Diceros bicornis minor: one gene and its partner. Each later gene encodes a partner of the first gene's protein in a complex. Links are inferred from orthologs where the notes say so. Each region holds a gene or a part of one and is shown in the gene's direction. Other genes may lie near its edges. The genes, in order: RASA1 and ARHGAP35.

Region 1 (7,628 bases):
TCCTGATAATTTCCTCTGAAGTCTTATAGCCTCAGAGATCATACTATTCTTTAATTTCTTCAAGGTGTTTATAATTTTCATAAATCTTATTTAGTTATTATACCACATACTGTAATCCCTGCAGAGCTATTTACTTTTTCATCAAAATAATTTCCTTTAACCTGTATCTCCTCCATGTTATGTTCTCAAGACATCTCCCTAATGAGGAAATTTGTGCTGTTGAGGATTTTAAGATGAGGCCAACAAATGCAGTAGGGATGTTAGAGGTTAGGAGTAAAGGCTTCCTTTCAAAATTTTTGGGTCATGGAAATCTTTTTACACTATTTATATATTTGGAAGGCTATTTGTACAGCTGAGTATGTACTGGGGCTTAAAACACATTTGGGATTATTCAAACACAGGTGTAAGCTCTTTATCACTTCTGGCTTAGTCTTCCTCTCAGTAACTCCTCATATATTTGCTCTGAACCCCTTGAGGTTCTCTAAAATTGTATTTTTGACCCAGAATTACCTTTTCACATATTGAGGTATTAAAACTGTGAAATATTTCAGAATGTATTATTCATATTTGAGTTGCCAATAAAATCAGAATGAGCCAAATTAATTTTTTTAAACTAAATGTTCAGACTCTTTTCACCCACAAGTCTTTGTCCAGCATTTCTGATTATTTACTCTTCATTGAATACTATGTTTAATTCAATATTGGGAGTAACTTTTCTAAAATCACAGATGCCATAGATTGTTTTACTAAAGGTAAAATCTATTTTGAATTTTCCTCTCTTTTCTTTTGTATATTGTTCTGTTTTTCAGTACCTCCTTGTTTAATATTATCTGTGAATTTAATTAACAGACTGTTTACTTCCCTTTGTTAACTGATGTTATGTAACACCACACCTAACACCAACGCCTCTCTCCAAATAGATATTTCATAATTTTTTTTTTTTAATTGTTCTTGGTTTTTGACTCATGAAACTTCAAGGAGTATACTTCAAGGAGAATAGTCTTATGTCAGAAAATTCAGGGGCTTGAAAGAAAAGAAAAGGGAAACACAGAAGTAGAAACTGAGGGAGCAATTAACAGAAAAAAAGAGAACATGAGACTATAAATGAGAGAAGGGTAGAAGATCAAGGTAAGTAGAAAAAGAAAAAAGGCAACAGACAAAAATAAAGAAGGTAGAAACATTTAACCCTTTTGGAAAAAATAAAGTCACTGAAGATAGAAGACTGATTTGAGATTAAGGAAATACCCAAGAAATAGTGATCAAAGCCTAGATCTGTCCAGTAAAAGGAGTATATAAAATATTTGAAAATACCTCATCAAAAAAATGTGGTAGTCTGTTTGGATGAAAAAGCACAACTCTAAGATTGAATATAAGGTAAGATACTGGTATTAGGTTGATATACAAATAGACATAGCAGATCTTTCCTACTAGTAGAGCAACTGATGTCCAAAGATGTGAGCTGATTTAATCCAGCGTTTGTTAAAAGGATGGAGATCTGTTAAAGCATTTGGCAAGGATGCCTAGCACAGGGCTAGGCAGTAGGAAAAACCACAGGTTCTCTTAGCAGAATAGTTTTGTGGATACATACACCTAAAAGTAACTAGAAAACAGTATAACTCAGTATACAGTTGGTGTTGGACTGCATTAAATATTGGCCTTTAAGTGCTAAAGAATTTTCAAAAAAGGGGGAGGAGGTAATTGTGCAAATTAGAGTAGTGAGCCTGATCTGGAAGCTCAGGCAGTGTTCAGATAGTGCGTGGGCACTTAGAGAAGATCAGTGATAACCAAGAGCTGGCGATAACCTGCCGGAATAATGTCCTACATTCAGAGGCTGATGATGGTAATTGGCGTGGGAGTGTTGCAGGATTGGGATGCTAACACACTGCAGGCTTTCAAGCACAGGCTACATGAAAATTTGTTGCCAGTGAGTGGAATAGGTACTTTGACGGTCTCTTCTAACTCTGAGGGTCTAAGTTTAAAAGAAAAACTATTTTCAGGGAGGTGACTGTAAGAAGTAGGACTTGATTATTCTCTTCAAGACCATGGCTCTACTTCATTATGCACTTTCTCATTTTCTAACCTCCTTTCTAGAACAGCACAGAGCTTAGCAACCCAATACCAACATCTCTTACCCACCTACCTAATGAATGACATTGAGCCGGCTTTCTCATCTATTCTTTCTCTCATTCAGGATAATTGCACACCTCCCTCTTGATTAGCATACTACACTCTAGGACAGCGGTTCTTAAACGTAAATGTGTCAACTTGGAGGGCTCATTAAAACATAGATTGCCGCACAGTTTCTGATTCAGAGGGTCTGGGGTGGGGCCCCAAAATTTGCATTTTTACCAGTTCCTAGGATAGTGCTGGTCTGAGACCACTCTTGTGACTAGTTCATCTTCACTCTGCCAGTGGTACACTGCATAGGAGGTGAGCACGATGAGGGAGTCCTCAGGATTACCGTTTAATCAAGTTTGTCAGTGATTTGGCAAATAGGCTTATGCAAACTTCTAAAGTAAAGGAAAATGTCTTGCGTGCACCTTTCGCCCTCTTTTAGTGGTCTATTCCTTTTTTCCTGGGCCTCTATAACAGCCCCTTCCCATGCCCTATGTGGTACTATATTGGTTTGATCATCTTTAGCAGAGAAAATATTGATCTCAAAGATTAAATCAAGATTAAATATTAAAAAGATATTTAGAAAGATTAAATATTGATGTTTGAGATCAATATTTTATGGTATTTAATGTGGCATTCCTCCTGGGAGAATTTAAAAGATAAGAACAATATATGAATCCAAAAGGGCAAATTACTGGTACTGTAATTTCAAACAATGGGAATGATTCCTCCACGTACACGAATGCATATATTTTATTATAGAAGACAAAACAAAACCCATCTCTTTGGCTATATTAAGGGTGAGATTTCAGTTTATTTCTAATTTTTGAAACTATACTTAATTGTAACCGGCACTTGGGGACCCTCTTGACATTCGCCTTGTTGAAGGTGCTCTGTGCGTTCACGTGTGCATCGCGAAGCATGCCCTGCCGTCTTTCGCACACAAACGAGGACAAAAGTGCGTTGATTAGTGATGTCTCTGGCATCCCTCTTCTTCCACACCTCATTAATACTCAACCGACTTGCAATGGTACTCAACAAACTTGCTATGGCACAGGTAAGTGTGTGTGTGTGTGTGTGTGTGTGTGAGAGCGAGCGAGCGAGAGAGCGAGCGCAAGCGCGGAGGTGGGGGGGAGGGAGGATACGGATGGTTGGTGAAGAAAACAAAACGTGTCTAGAAATCTGGCTTCACAACCACTATTTCCACCAAAATTCCTTGCCCTCCTCATATGGACCCCTTTATCCATTTCGTTTTCTTCTCTTGAGTTTCAGAACCTAGTTTTTTATTTCATTTTATTTTTTAGTTTGTAATAGTTGTACACTGATTTATATTAGGCAACGAAAATGAAAACATTAATAGTACTGCCTGGACCTTCGAAGCAATATCCACCTTCCCCCGGGGCCTTGGGCGTCTGGTTTCTGCGCCGCGGGCCAAGGGTGTGTTTTCTACGGGTCAGGAAGTGGGGCACTGGCTTCGCGGCATCTTCCTTTCCCGTTCCCCATTCCGTCCTCTCACCGCCTCCCTGTCCCTCCCGTCTTCACGGCGCCCGGCGGCCGCGTGCTCAGGTACTCACTCCTCCCCTGCCCCGGCCCACCGGCCCACCGAACAAAGCCCAGGGAGGCAGGCGCGCGCCGCCGGCGACACCGACGGGAGGAGCGGCCGCGCCGCCACGCGCCAGAACCGGAGCGGGACAGCCGGCGCGTCCGCTCCCCGCGCGTCCCCGCCGCTTCCGTCCCTCCCGACTCTTCCTTTTCCTCCCTCCAGGCCCAGCCCCCCCACCCCCGCGCCGGGAACGCGCCTGCGCAGAAGCGCCGTCTCCCTCCTCCCCCGCCCTTCCTTCCCTCCGCTCCTCCTCCTGTGCCCCGCCTTCCTTTCTCTCTGGTCGATTTCACTGAGCGCTCCAGGTTGGGAGCAGTTCAGTCGGTTTCCCCAGTACCCCGCCCCCCTTCCTCTTATCTCCCCACCCCTCCCATCTGTAGCCCGGTGGAGGATGAAGCGGCTGCAGTGGCCCCAGCCCCAGCAGCGGCACCGGCGGTGGCTGCGGTGGAGGTGGCCGGAACTGGGGTGGTGAAGAAGCGGTGGCGGCGGCGGCGGCGGTGGCTGAAGGAGCGGCAGCCGCCCCAGCCGCTTCCCCTGCGCTTCCCTTCCTCTTTAGGGCAGCCAGGAAGTTTTTCGCTTCTGTGCATGTGTGTGTGCGTGAGTGTGGGTGTGTAAGGTGAAGGTTTGGGCGGCGTTTGTGCAGGCGTTGGGTTTTTTGCCCACTTCGCTTCCCGTAACCCGGGCAGCTCCGGAGCCTGGGCTGTGGCCCGAGGAGGGGGCGCGGCGGCGGGCTCTCTCCTTTTGTTGTTGTTTCCTCCGCCTGGGGAGCTGACGGGGGGACGCGCCTGGGTGGGGCGGCTCGGAGCCCGGGCCTGGTGGCCCTCGGGGCTCCCGGGCGGGCAGGGGAGGGCAGAGTCGAGCGGGCTTCAACATGATGGCGGCCGAGGCCGGCAGTGAGGAGGGCGGCCCGGTGACCGCCGGGGCCGCAGGAGGCGGCGCGGCCGCGGGCTCCAGTGCCTATCCGGCAGTGTGTCGGGTGAAGATCCCCGCGGCCCTGCCTGTGGCAGCCGCCTCGTATCCTGGGCTGGCGGAGGCCGCAGTGGCCGGGACTCTGGGTGGCGGAGCCGCTGCGGGGTCAGGGTTCCTAGGGGCCGTGTCCGTGGCGGGGGCGCTGGGGGGAGCCGGACTGTCAGGGGGAGGTGCTGCTGCTGGCGTGGCTGGTGCTGCCGCCGCCGGACCTGGCGGGGAGATGGCTCCCACCAAGGGGACCACTTCGTTGCCTGCCGAGCCCTTCGGGGCGGGCGGCGGATTCCCTCCTCTGCCGCCGCCTCCTCAGCTGCCCACTTTGGGCGCCGGCCTGGGAACAGTGGACGAAGGTGACTCTCTGGATGGACCAGAATACGAGGAGGAAGAGGTGGCCATCCCGCTGACCGCTCCTCCAACTAACCAGTAAGTCAAGACCACTGTTCTGGGACTGGGGAAGCTGGCTCCTGGAAAGAAGTGGGAAAACGTACCTCGTTCTTTCTGCTGTGATTTGTTCTGAGAAGTTTGGAAGCTTCAGGTTCCATGCGTAGGGATTTAATATGATCTCTCATCTTCCCCACAGGCATACTCCCTGGCGTCTTTGTCTATTTATTGCTCCTCTGGGAAGATGTAAAGTTTTTAAGATGGGAAAATGTGTATCCAGTGAGAACCGGATATGGTTCTGCCCCTTCCAAATTGAGCTGGCGGCCTGGGATTCAGCAGAGCTTGCAGCCGCCTAGGCAGTCATAGTCTGTATTAACTTGTGTGTGTTCCCGATTGAAGCTAGATGATGAGTGAGAAGCTCTGAATACGAGTATTTGAATCAGTATTGTACTGATATCATTTGAAACATGCATTGGTCAGAATGCTTTGCTTTTGTTGCACTGCAAATCCCACCTTCTGCTTAGTGAAAACCTAGAGGTGCAGAAAAGTCTTTGGATCACTTATGAAAACGTGGGTCAGCGAGGAAGGAAAGGAGTTCCGTGAATTACAGGTGTGATTAAGGGCCCATACTCCAGCAATGTTTGTAACTTGTGCCATAGAATTCCCATTTATTAATATTAGTGTAATTCTTTTATAGTTGTGACTTTGTAAGTACAACATTGAAGTAAAACAAATTAATAGTGTACTTCCCTTCAACACTTTTTCTTGGTGGCCGATACAATATTTTATTTGAGAATTAATTTTGACAGTCTACTGCAGAATATATAGGACAAATGACTTTTCTATATAAAGTTAGCACCTCCCCCTTACTTGTTCTCTACCTAGGTTAACTTATGGATGCATTTATAAAGGTGGACCTTGAGGAGAGGAAAATGTTGATGGGAAGTGGTAATAGTAGACAAAACTTGTTTTATAGATCACTCAGATCTGTCTTAATTGACCTTTAGAATTTCGACAACCTTTGATGAGTATCAGAGGAAAAAAGATTTGGTTTATATGTTCACAGTCACTCTGGACCGTTGAAAGGTTTTTTTTTTGGATAAGCATCTTTGGAGGATTTAGAAAGGACTTAAAAAATGACTTAGGAAAAGATTCTGTAGTAATCCATTTTTGACTTAAGGCTACATCTTCTGATACTTAAGGTGGAAAATTAAAGTTAGTCTTATTTATGTCAGCCATAGTATAGAGGTGTTGTATTCCTTTTATAGTGCTCAATATGAGTTAAATTTTTTTGTCTAATTTTGTTCCAACTTATCATGTTATGTCTATGTATTGCAGACTTTTCTAAAGGTGTTCTGAGAGTGTTAAAAATTCCAGTTTCCAGCACTGTTTCACCTTCAAGCCATTTTGAAAAAGTCAGATTTAAATATTAAGTGCCCACTATATGCTCAGCACTGTGGTTATAATAAAGTGCAACTTTTCATACTGAAAGAATATAGTCTTATTCCAGTTCATAACTGAATTGAATTAGGCATATTTAGTATATTGTAGTTCTAAATTTTTTTAAGTCAAATTTATTTTGTAGAGCAATTCTAGGTTCACGGCAAAATTGAGCAGAAAATACAGAGCATTCCCATTAAATTTTTAATAATAAACATGAATGGGTACATAGAACAAATTGTGTTTGTGAGAAGTCCATTGTGTAAGATTTTCATCATTATCACTTATATGTATTTAGGAATAAAAATAATATTTGTATGACTGTATATGAGAATTGTTCATGTTCTAAAAAGTATCCTCCATTTCTAGTATGTTTTTTAAATTTGCCACTGAGAAGTACAAATTTCCCTCTTTTCTTTATCTTAGATATCAACCCAGAGTCACTGGAGGCAATACAGTGTAGTGGTTAAGCGTGCAAATTCTGAAGTTAGACAAGATTTGGGTTGGAATCCTGACTCTGCCACTTACTAGCTGTGTGATCTTGGAAAGGTCAGTTTCCCCATCTGTAAAATGGGGATAATAATGGTACCTCCCTCATATGGTCGTTTTTAAAGTTTAATGAAAACCTTGAACATATTCAGCACAGTGCCTGGCACATAGTAAGTGTTTAGTAAATAGTCTCCCCAAATAACAAGAATATAATTTTATTGTCATTAAATTGCCTACTAATTCTATTGGTGTAGGGACTCTTTTCCTAATAGCTATTTGAGAGAATGTTTTGAACTCCAAAGACCTGTCTGCCATAATTAATTATATTAAAATTTTATTTTTACTTCATAAAAGCTTCTAGCAGATTAAGCAGGTTCAGAGATGAAATTCAAGTGTTTTCTATAAATTCCTATTTTCAATGAAAGGAGGAAAAAGCCTTAGTGACTTGGTTAAATAATGTCAAATTTCCCATAAAAGTATTGAAGAAATGTTTTTGGACTAAATTAATATTTGACTAGTGACTGTTCACTGTAGTTATTGATAGCATGGTATTAAGGAAGTTGGGGTCCCAAGATTGAGTCCACAGTGGTTTGTTAGACTAGGGTTCCACCTTGTATCCAGCTAGTGTGGTGTGTTG
Region 2 (7,080 bases), on another chromosome or scaffold:
ACACACCTATCAGAAATGAGTACATATGTTTACTCGTCCTAAAAAAGACACGTCCTAACTTGTTCATATCAGCACTAATCATAACAGCCCAAAGTGGAAACCATCCAGATGCTCACCAACAGTAGAATGGATAAATACATCATGGTTGATTCGCACAGTGGAATACTAGACAGCACTGAGAATGAACGATCTGCGTCTACACACAGTAATGTGGATGAATCTAACAGTGTTGATCAAAAGAAGTCACTTACAGGATTCCATTATATAAAGTATAAAAACGGGCAAAACCAATCTACAGTCATAGGAGTCGGGATGGAGGTTCTGCTTGTGGGGACTGACTGGAAGGAGACACCAGGGGGCTTCTGAGACATAGGTCATATTCCGTTTGTTATTCTGGGTGCTGGTTACAAGGGCGTGTTCTCTTTGTGAATATTCATCGAGCTGTACACTTGTGATTTGTGCACTTCTCCGTATGCATGTTATATTACCATTTTTAAAGTTCATAGAAATTGCGAGGTTCCTCATCCATCCTTCCGTCAGATATTTAGCGCGTGCCCACTGCGCGTCCAGCTCTGGCCGGCCGCTGGGATCACGCAGTGAATCTGAGCATCTCCGCCTCCCGTTCCTTTCTTGTGATTGGCTGCCCTTCTGGCCAATGGCGGAAGAGTTCACCGCTCTCTGACATCCCTGGCAGCCTCAGCTAGCTGCAGCTTCCTCAGTTCGGTTTGTAGGGGGCGCTGTGAGCTCACCGACTCTTTGGTCAAGCGCAGACCTGGTCCCCACCCTCTGATTCTTTCTGACACTGAGGAATGGCGAGAGAATATGCTCCAGCACCTCCACGCTCTTTGCAAAACTCTTCTGGGGATTTTTCTGCTTATGCATCTCTCCAATGAGGCGCCAGGTCCCCAGGCCCCGCCTTGTACCTACCCCGGCTCTCCGGTTGATGTGACCTCGCGTCCCGGCCATTTGGGCCCCTAGGGCGATGCTTGGGAAATCTTGACAGCGGCCCAGGCCGGCAGTCGGCACTTCTCTCTGTCAGCTAGTTGTTTACTCGGTTGTTTATTTATCCTGGAGTGGAGGCTGGCCGGGTGCGCGGGGGCGGCTGCCCCCAGGGAAGCCTGTTTCCTGTGGTTGGCTTGCTCAGCTAACACCCGCCCTCTTGCGCACTGCAAAGAATTGCAGAGCTGGGAAGGCCCTCCTTCATAGTTCGTTCGTTCATCCAGGGAAACGCTACCTGAGCCCCTGCCTTGTGCCTGGGCCTGTGCTGAGGACATCAATGCTGCTAAGACAGCTCCGGCCCTGTTCTCATGGGGCTTACAGTCCGGTGGGAGAGAAAGACCTATATTACTAGATAGGGACGCCCCAGGGGATTAGGGCTTGGTTGGAGACCCAAAGGGGCTGGCGGAGTCTAAAAGGGGTGCCTGATCCAGCCTGGCAGATCAGGAAGGACCTTCTGGAAGAGGGAATACCTGAGCTAGCATCTGCAAGAGGGGTAGGAGTCAGCAATTGGACAAGGACTGTATCTTTTTGGCTGCCACGCCCCCAGTGCCAGCCATCATTCTCTGCTTGGCTTTGGATTCATTCATTTATTCATTAACAAGTATTTATGGCTGGCCTGGTGGCCCAAGCGGTTGGGTGCGCGTGCTCTGCTGCCGCGGCCGGGGGTTCGCTGGTTCGGATCCCGGCGCGCAACAACGCACCACTTGTTGGGCCGTGCTGTGGCAGCGTCCTATATAAAGTAGAGGAAGATGGGCACGGATGTTAGCCCAGAGCCAGTCTTCCTCAGCAAAAAAGAGGAGGATTGGCATTGGATGTTAGCTTAGGGCTGGTCTTCCTCACACACACACACACACAAACAAAAAAACCCACAAGTATTTACTGTGGGTCATTTGCCAAATTGAGAAACTAGCCAGAATCCCTGCCTTCAAAGGGCTCACACTTAAAATGGTGATACCAATACAGAATTTCAACCCTGATGGAGTGCTGTGAGGAAATAGTAGCTGTGTAGTTATCTGACCCCAATTGTCTGAGTTTGAATCCCAGATCTGCCATTTACTAGCTGTGTAACCTCTCTGTGCCTTAGTTTAGTAGAATAATAACAACTATAACCTACTTACAAAGTGTTGTGAGGATTAAGTGAGTCAATCTGTTTAAAGTGCTTTAGAATGTTGCGTGGTATAAAGAGCCCATTTTTATCAAAGAATGAGGAGTCAGGCCAAATCTGGGGGGCCACTCTGAGGAAGTGACTTCAAGCTAGACTTGAAGGATAAGGCAGAGTTGACGGGCTCCGAAAGAGGGGAAGGGGACATCTGGGTCCAGAGTGAACCCAGTCTTCGCTCTTCTCCAGGTGCTGCCAGTTCAGAAATTTCCCAAGATTGGAAGGACCTAGAACACTGCATTGGAGTTACAAACACACATTAATTTGTGGTAGGGGAATCTGGTGTTCCCTCAAGTAATCTCAAAATCGCTTACAAACCAGAGTTTGCAGTGGCAACCTAAAGAAAATCTGGCCCACAATGCTTAAAGCAAACTTTAAAAAAAATAGTCACGAACATCTAAAAATAAAATTTCATGTATTGAAAGTGATAAATTAAAAAAAAAAGTCAATGGAAATGACCCTGATCAGTCACCAGAAAACTTTTATTTAATGGGATGTTTTAAAACTTTGAGTGCATGTAATTTTATTTATCAACACTTATAATGCAAGGCATGATTTTCAGCGCTTTACAAATATAACACATTTAATTCTCATAGCAACCCTATGAGGGAGGTAAGAATATCGTTCTATTTTACAGATGAAAAGACTGAGGAAAGAAACGCAAAATGCAATAGGAAGCATAGCCTTTCTTCATGAATTCCATAAATATCGACTTGGCGCCCAGATCTTTCATCTTCCACCATCCGTACTTCCGGAGGGGTCCCAGAGGAACCCCTCCTCAGTTTAGAGGAGCTCAAGGGTTACAGCGGTGCCCCTTCCCATCACTACTATTTCCCCTCCAGGCGCCCGAAATGACATGTGATTTGCAGTCATTTGTACATTGCTGACTTGGAGGCCAGGGCTGCACGCAGGACCGGGCCCTCGCCCCTCTCCCGGGAATCAGGCGATCACAGAATGCAGAGCAAGTTGTATTACCGCGCGCGTTGACTGCAGATTTTCTTCACTGCGCGGGGAAAGAGCACGCGCTCCCCAGCCCCGCCCCTTCTTCCGGAACGACGAGTTGCGAGGCTAGGATTGGGCCTAGGCGGGCCACGCCTCCTCACGCTCCCCAATCAGCTCCTTGGCTGGGGGCTCTCCCTCCTCCTCAGCCCCTCCCCACCGCCCCACGTTACGTCGCTCCCTCTCTCCTCCTCCGTTATCCCGGGGTCTGCGGCTCTCGCGGCAAACCCACCTCCCCTTGCCTCCCATTGGCCGCTCAGGTCCCGCGCGAGCGGGATCGTGCCCTTCGCCCCCGCCCCCAAAGCCGGGCCAAGCCTCTCCCCTCCCGCTTTCTCCAAGAGCCAGCACGAGGAGGGGGTTCGGCTGCGTCTGGCGCGCGCAAGGGCGCGCGCGCCTCCCGCGGGCCACTCCCTCCGCCTCGCGCCAGTAGCTGCGGCGGCTTGCAGCCCCTCCCGCGCACGCGCACTTGCCCACCCCCACTCCCTCTGGCCTGTCGCGGGTCTCCTCGCGCAGCAGCCACCGCAGTAGCGGCATTTTCTTGGGGCGCACGCGCACTGCGCCCTCCGCGCCCGTTCTCAGCCCTCGGCCGCGGCGGTGGCAGGGCGCCCCTCGGGCGCGCACGCGCTCTCGCTTCTCCCCGGCCCACCCTGGTTATCCCCTGGCGGCGCGCGCCCAGGGGCCGTTATCCCCCTGCAACGGTCCTCGCGCCACGCACGCGCAGTAGCGAGGGGCGCGCTCGCGGGAGCGGCGGCCGCAGGAAGGAGGCGCCGCCGCCGCCATTGCGAGGGAGGGAGGGAGGGAGCGAGCGAGGCTGGTCCGCCCTCCCCCTGGTTCCCGCCCCTCCCCCTTCCCCTCCCCGCCCTCCCGCCCCGAGGGAGAGCCGCGGCGCGGCGGGAGGAGGAGGTGGAGGAGGCGGAGGAGGGAGCCCGCGAGGGAGGGTCCGCCCGGCCCCCCGCCGCCGGAGCCGCCGCCGCCTCAGCTGCCGCTGGACGAGGAGCAGCAGAACATGGCGCCGGGGCCGCCGTCGCCGCTGTCGGGATCCCGGAGTCCGGGGCCGCGCTGAGGGCGCCCAGCTGGTGAGTGCGCGAGCTCGCGGGCCCCGGCGGCGAGGCCGGGCGCCGCCCCGCTGCGGGGTCCAGGGGGAGGCGGGGACGGCGGGGCCCGGAGCCCGCGAACAATGGAGGAGCCGGAGGGGGAGGGGAGGGAGCGGCCCCCCAGCCCCCCGGGCCCCGCCGGCCCAGCCGCTTCGCGCTGCGGCCCGGCCCACGGGGCCCGCCTGCCCTGCGGACCTGCCCCTGCCCGCGCCAGCCCCGCTGTCCCCGCGGCTGCCCCCACCCTCCGACCCATTGGGATCTCGGGGTCTGCCCCGGCCCCCCCACTTCAGCCCCGCTGGTCCCGACTCTGCGCCTCCCCCTTCCCCCTTCCGCCGCTCCGTAATGCCCTTCGCCCCTCCTGCACTCCGCAGTGCTCCCGGGACCCACCTCCTCAGGGACCCTTCTGCATCCTTTAATTCTGGACCCCCACTTTGAGATTCGTGAGTCTTCTGCCTCCTCTCCGATTCCGCTCTCACCGCCCTTCTGCTCTGTCCCCTTCTTTGACCCATCTGCTGTTACCCCTCCTCTCTTGCGCCCCCAGGAGCTGTCCCTGTAGGACACGCGGTTCCACCTCTTTGGAGAGCCATCTGAGACCCTGTTCGTCTTGGCACTGCTGCCCCAGGTCTCTTTGGACTTAATTTCACGTCCCTTTGGGCCCTGTTGCCCACGCACGGAATCTGCTGCACCCCAAAGATGCCCCTGGGCTCTCGGCCGCTTCCAAGCCTCAGTTCAGTCCCCTGCCCCTCCTCGGACTCGGGTGCACCGGGCTTGCCTCCTCCCGTCTCAACCTTGCTCCCGTTTGCCGTTCAGACCCTTTCCTCTTCCAGACCTTTCTGCTCTTTGCCCAATCTCGGATCTTGCTGTGCCCTCTAGCCTGCTTGCTTTCCTTCTCTGCCTTCCACGAAGCAGCCTCCTCCCGCCTCTCTGACCCTGCAGCTCTTTTCTGCCATTCGCTTCTCTGCCCTCTCTCCCTCAGCCTCTCCGCAGCCTCGGTGCTGCCCGGAACCCCCAGTTCTGCGCCGGTGTTCTCCTTGGGTTTCCTCTCCTCCCCACCTCCTCACTGGCACTCTTGAGCTGTTCCATTCATTTACTCCCCCTTTCTGACCTGTCTCCCCTTCTGTTCTTCTCTGCTTAAGGCTTGGTTCCCGACTGCTCTTTGCTCCGGGTCCTCTCCTTTCCATTTTGGCCCTTCGTAGACTTGCCTTTTACCTAACTAAACCATTGATCACTTTTCTCTGACCTGTCACCCTTTCCCCTCCCGTTCTGCATCTCACAGAGCTCCCCAGATCTTTTTTGCACCTGCTTTCTCATTTGTTCTGTTCTGCCCCCTCCTCTCCATTTAATGTTTTCTTCCTAGCTCTGCCCCTTTCGGAGCTGTCCACTTGCCCACCTATTTTTATGACCCATTTTCACTTTCCTACTGCTGCCCCCTCCTGGAGTGGGCCTCTTTAACCCTGGTCTTCTCAACTGCGTCCCGCCTCTGTTGCCTCTCAATTCTCAGTTTTCCACCTGGCTCTCCCCCCACCATTTTGATTCAGCTCTCCACCTCCAGCCTCTCCTTGCTTGTATTCCTCCTCCCTCCTCTGCCCTCCCTCTTACCTCCTTCTTGAGTTCTCCTTTCCTTGATTCTGCCCAGTATTAGAGATGTCTTCTAAACTATTCCTTGTCATCATCAATCATCAATCATGATCATGATCATGATCATCATGATCCCCCCCCCCCCCCCCCCCCCCCCCCCCGTCAGCTTTGGAGGGGAAGGGGCTGGCTTTGGTCCAGGGTTCTTTGGGCTCTGATTTAGACTGCAGATTCTTTCAGCACCCTGACCCTGAGGGTCTTATCCCCAGGGATCCTGGGAGATCCGGGGAAATAGGTGGGGGTTGGTGGGTGGGTTGCTGCTCTCTGGAGCCTGGGAATGTCTCCCCTTTTCCCCCCACTTCTACCAAGGTTAGTGGGGGGGGGGCTAGATCTCTTCGCATTGCCCCATGTTCTTTCTCACTCCCATTTTGCTCCCCAGCCCCTTCAGATCCCTGGGCTGTACAGCTTTGTGTCCTTCGGAAAGGAGAGTGCAGCTGCTCACAGGGTCTTTCTTCTCTTCCTCACTTTCCCTCCCTCCTCCTCTGGGCTGTTGTAAAGAGACACTTGTACCCTCTCCCCCTTCCATCTCCAAGCCAGCACCCCTTGCGAGAATTTAGGAGTGCATTTTTTGAGATTTTTCTGGCTGACAAGTCATATTTTTGTTTTACCCCCCCTTGCTGGGGAAATGCTGTTTCTCAAGTTCTCCCAATCCCACAGGGAGGTTATGGCCACACTTGGTATTTACGGCTCTGGGTCTGCAGAAGCTGCAGTCTTGCCTTCCGTGATGGCCTCTGGTTCTCAGTGTGACCTTTGGGAGGAGCGGGAGGGTGGGCTTAGTTCTTTTTCACCTCTGCCCCCGGAAGGCTCTAGCTTCCTGGTCTTCAAAATAGTGAGGGCCTGGGTTTGGAAGGCTCTTTGCTGTGGTTGTTTGTTGAAAGAGAGAGTGCCAGGTGTCACTCAGATTTCTGCCCTCTGGTCTTGCAGGCACTCCCAGCCACACGAGCGAAATGCCTCTGGGCAGATCCGTGTTGGATGGGGGTTAGGGGGGCTCATCGGTGTACAAGGAGGATGTGGGTGGGCCTTGACACTCCCCAAGTCTTCTGAGTGACCTGATTTGAGAAATCAGAAATTAGAGTGAGAATGGGGTGCCAGGACCTGGCTGATCTGATTGGATTTTTGGTCTTATTACCTAGGAAATGTCCCTTAGCTGCCTTTCTTTGAGCTGCCTTTCCTTCAGTGCTCTTCTGTTGGGGC

The links.
Region 2: the proteins of RASA1 (region 1) and ARHGAP35 are in contact, whole or in part, in a crystal structure (PDB 8DGQ), measured with the Homo sapiens proteins. The link is inferred for Diceros bicornis minor from reciprocal best matches to the Homo sapiens genes RASA1 and ARHGAP35. Residues at the interface, in NP_002881.1 of Homo sapiens: Arg188, Arg207, Ser209, Arg211, Val217, Asn228, His229, Phe230, Arg231, Ile241, Gly242, Tyr256, Leu262, Leu263, Lys264, Lys358, Ser379, Asp380, Asn381, Ser387, Gln397, Arg398, Phe399, Lys400, Met411, Gly412, Gly413, Arg414, His425, Tyr426; in NP_004482.4 of Homo sapiens: Ser1085, Asp1086, Tyr1087, Ala1088, Glu1089, Pro1090, Met1091, Asp1092, Ala1093, Val1094, Val1095, Arg1098, Glu1100, Asn1103, Ile1104, Tyr1105, Ser1106, Val1107, Pro1108, His1109.

What each region holds. Positions count from the first base shown.
Region 1 is NC_080740.1:14,384,335-14,391,962, forward strand, and holds the start of RASA1 (ras GTPase-activating protein 1), read left to right. Parts: upstream 1-4,512; 5' UTR 4,513-4,586; coding exon 4,587-5,104; intron 5,105-7,628. UniProt on the Homo sapiens protein: Inhibitory regulator of the Ras-cyclic AMP pathway. Stimulates the GTPase of normal but not oncogenic Ras p21; this stimulation may be further increased in the presence of NCK1.
Region 2 is NC_080773.1:22,366,362-22,373,441, forward strand, and holds the start of ARHGAP35 (rho GTPase-activating protein 35), read left to right. Parts: upstream 1-3,989; 5' UTR 3,990-4,233; intron 4,234-7,080.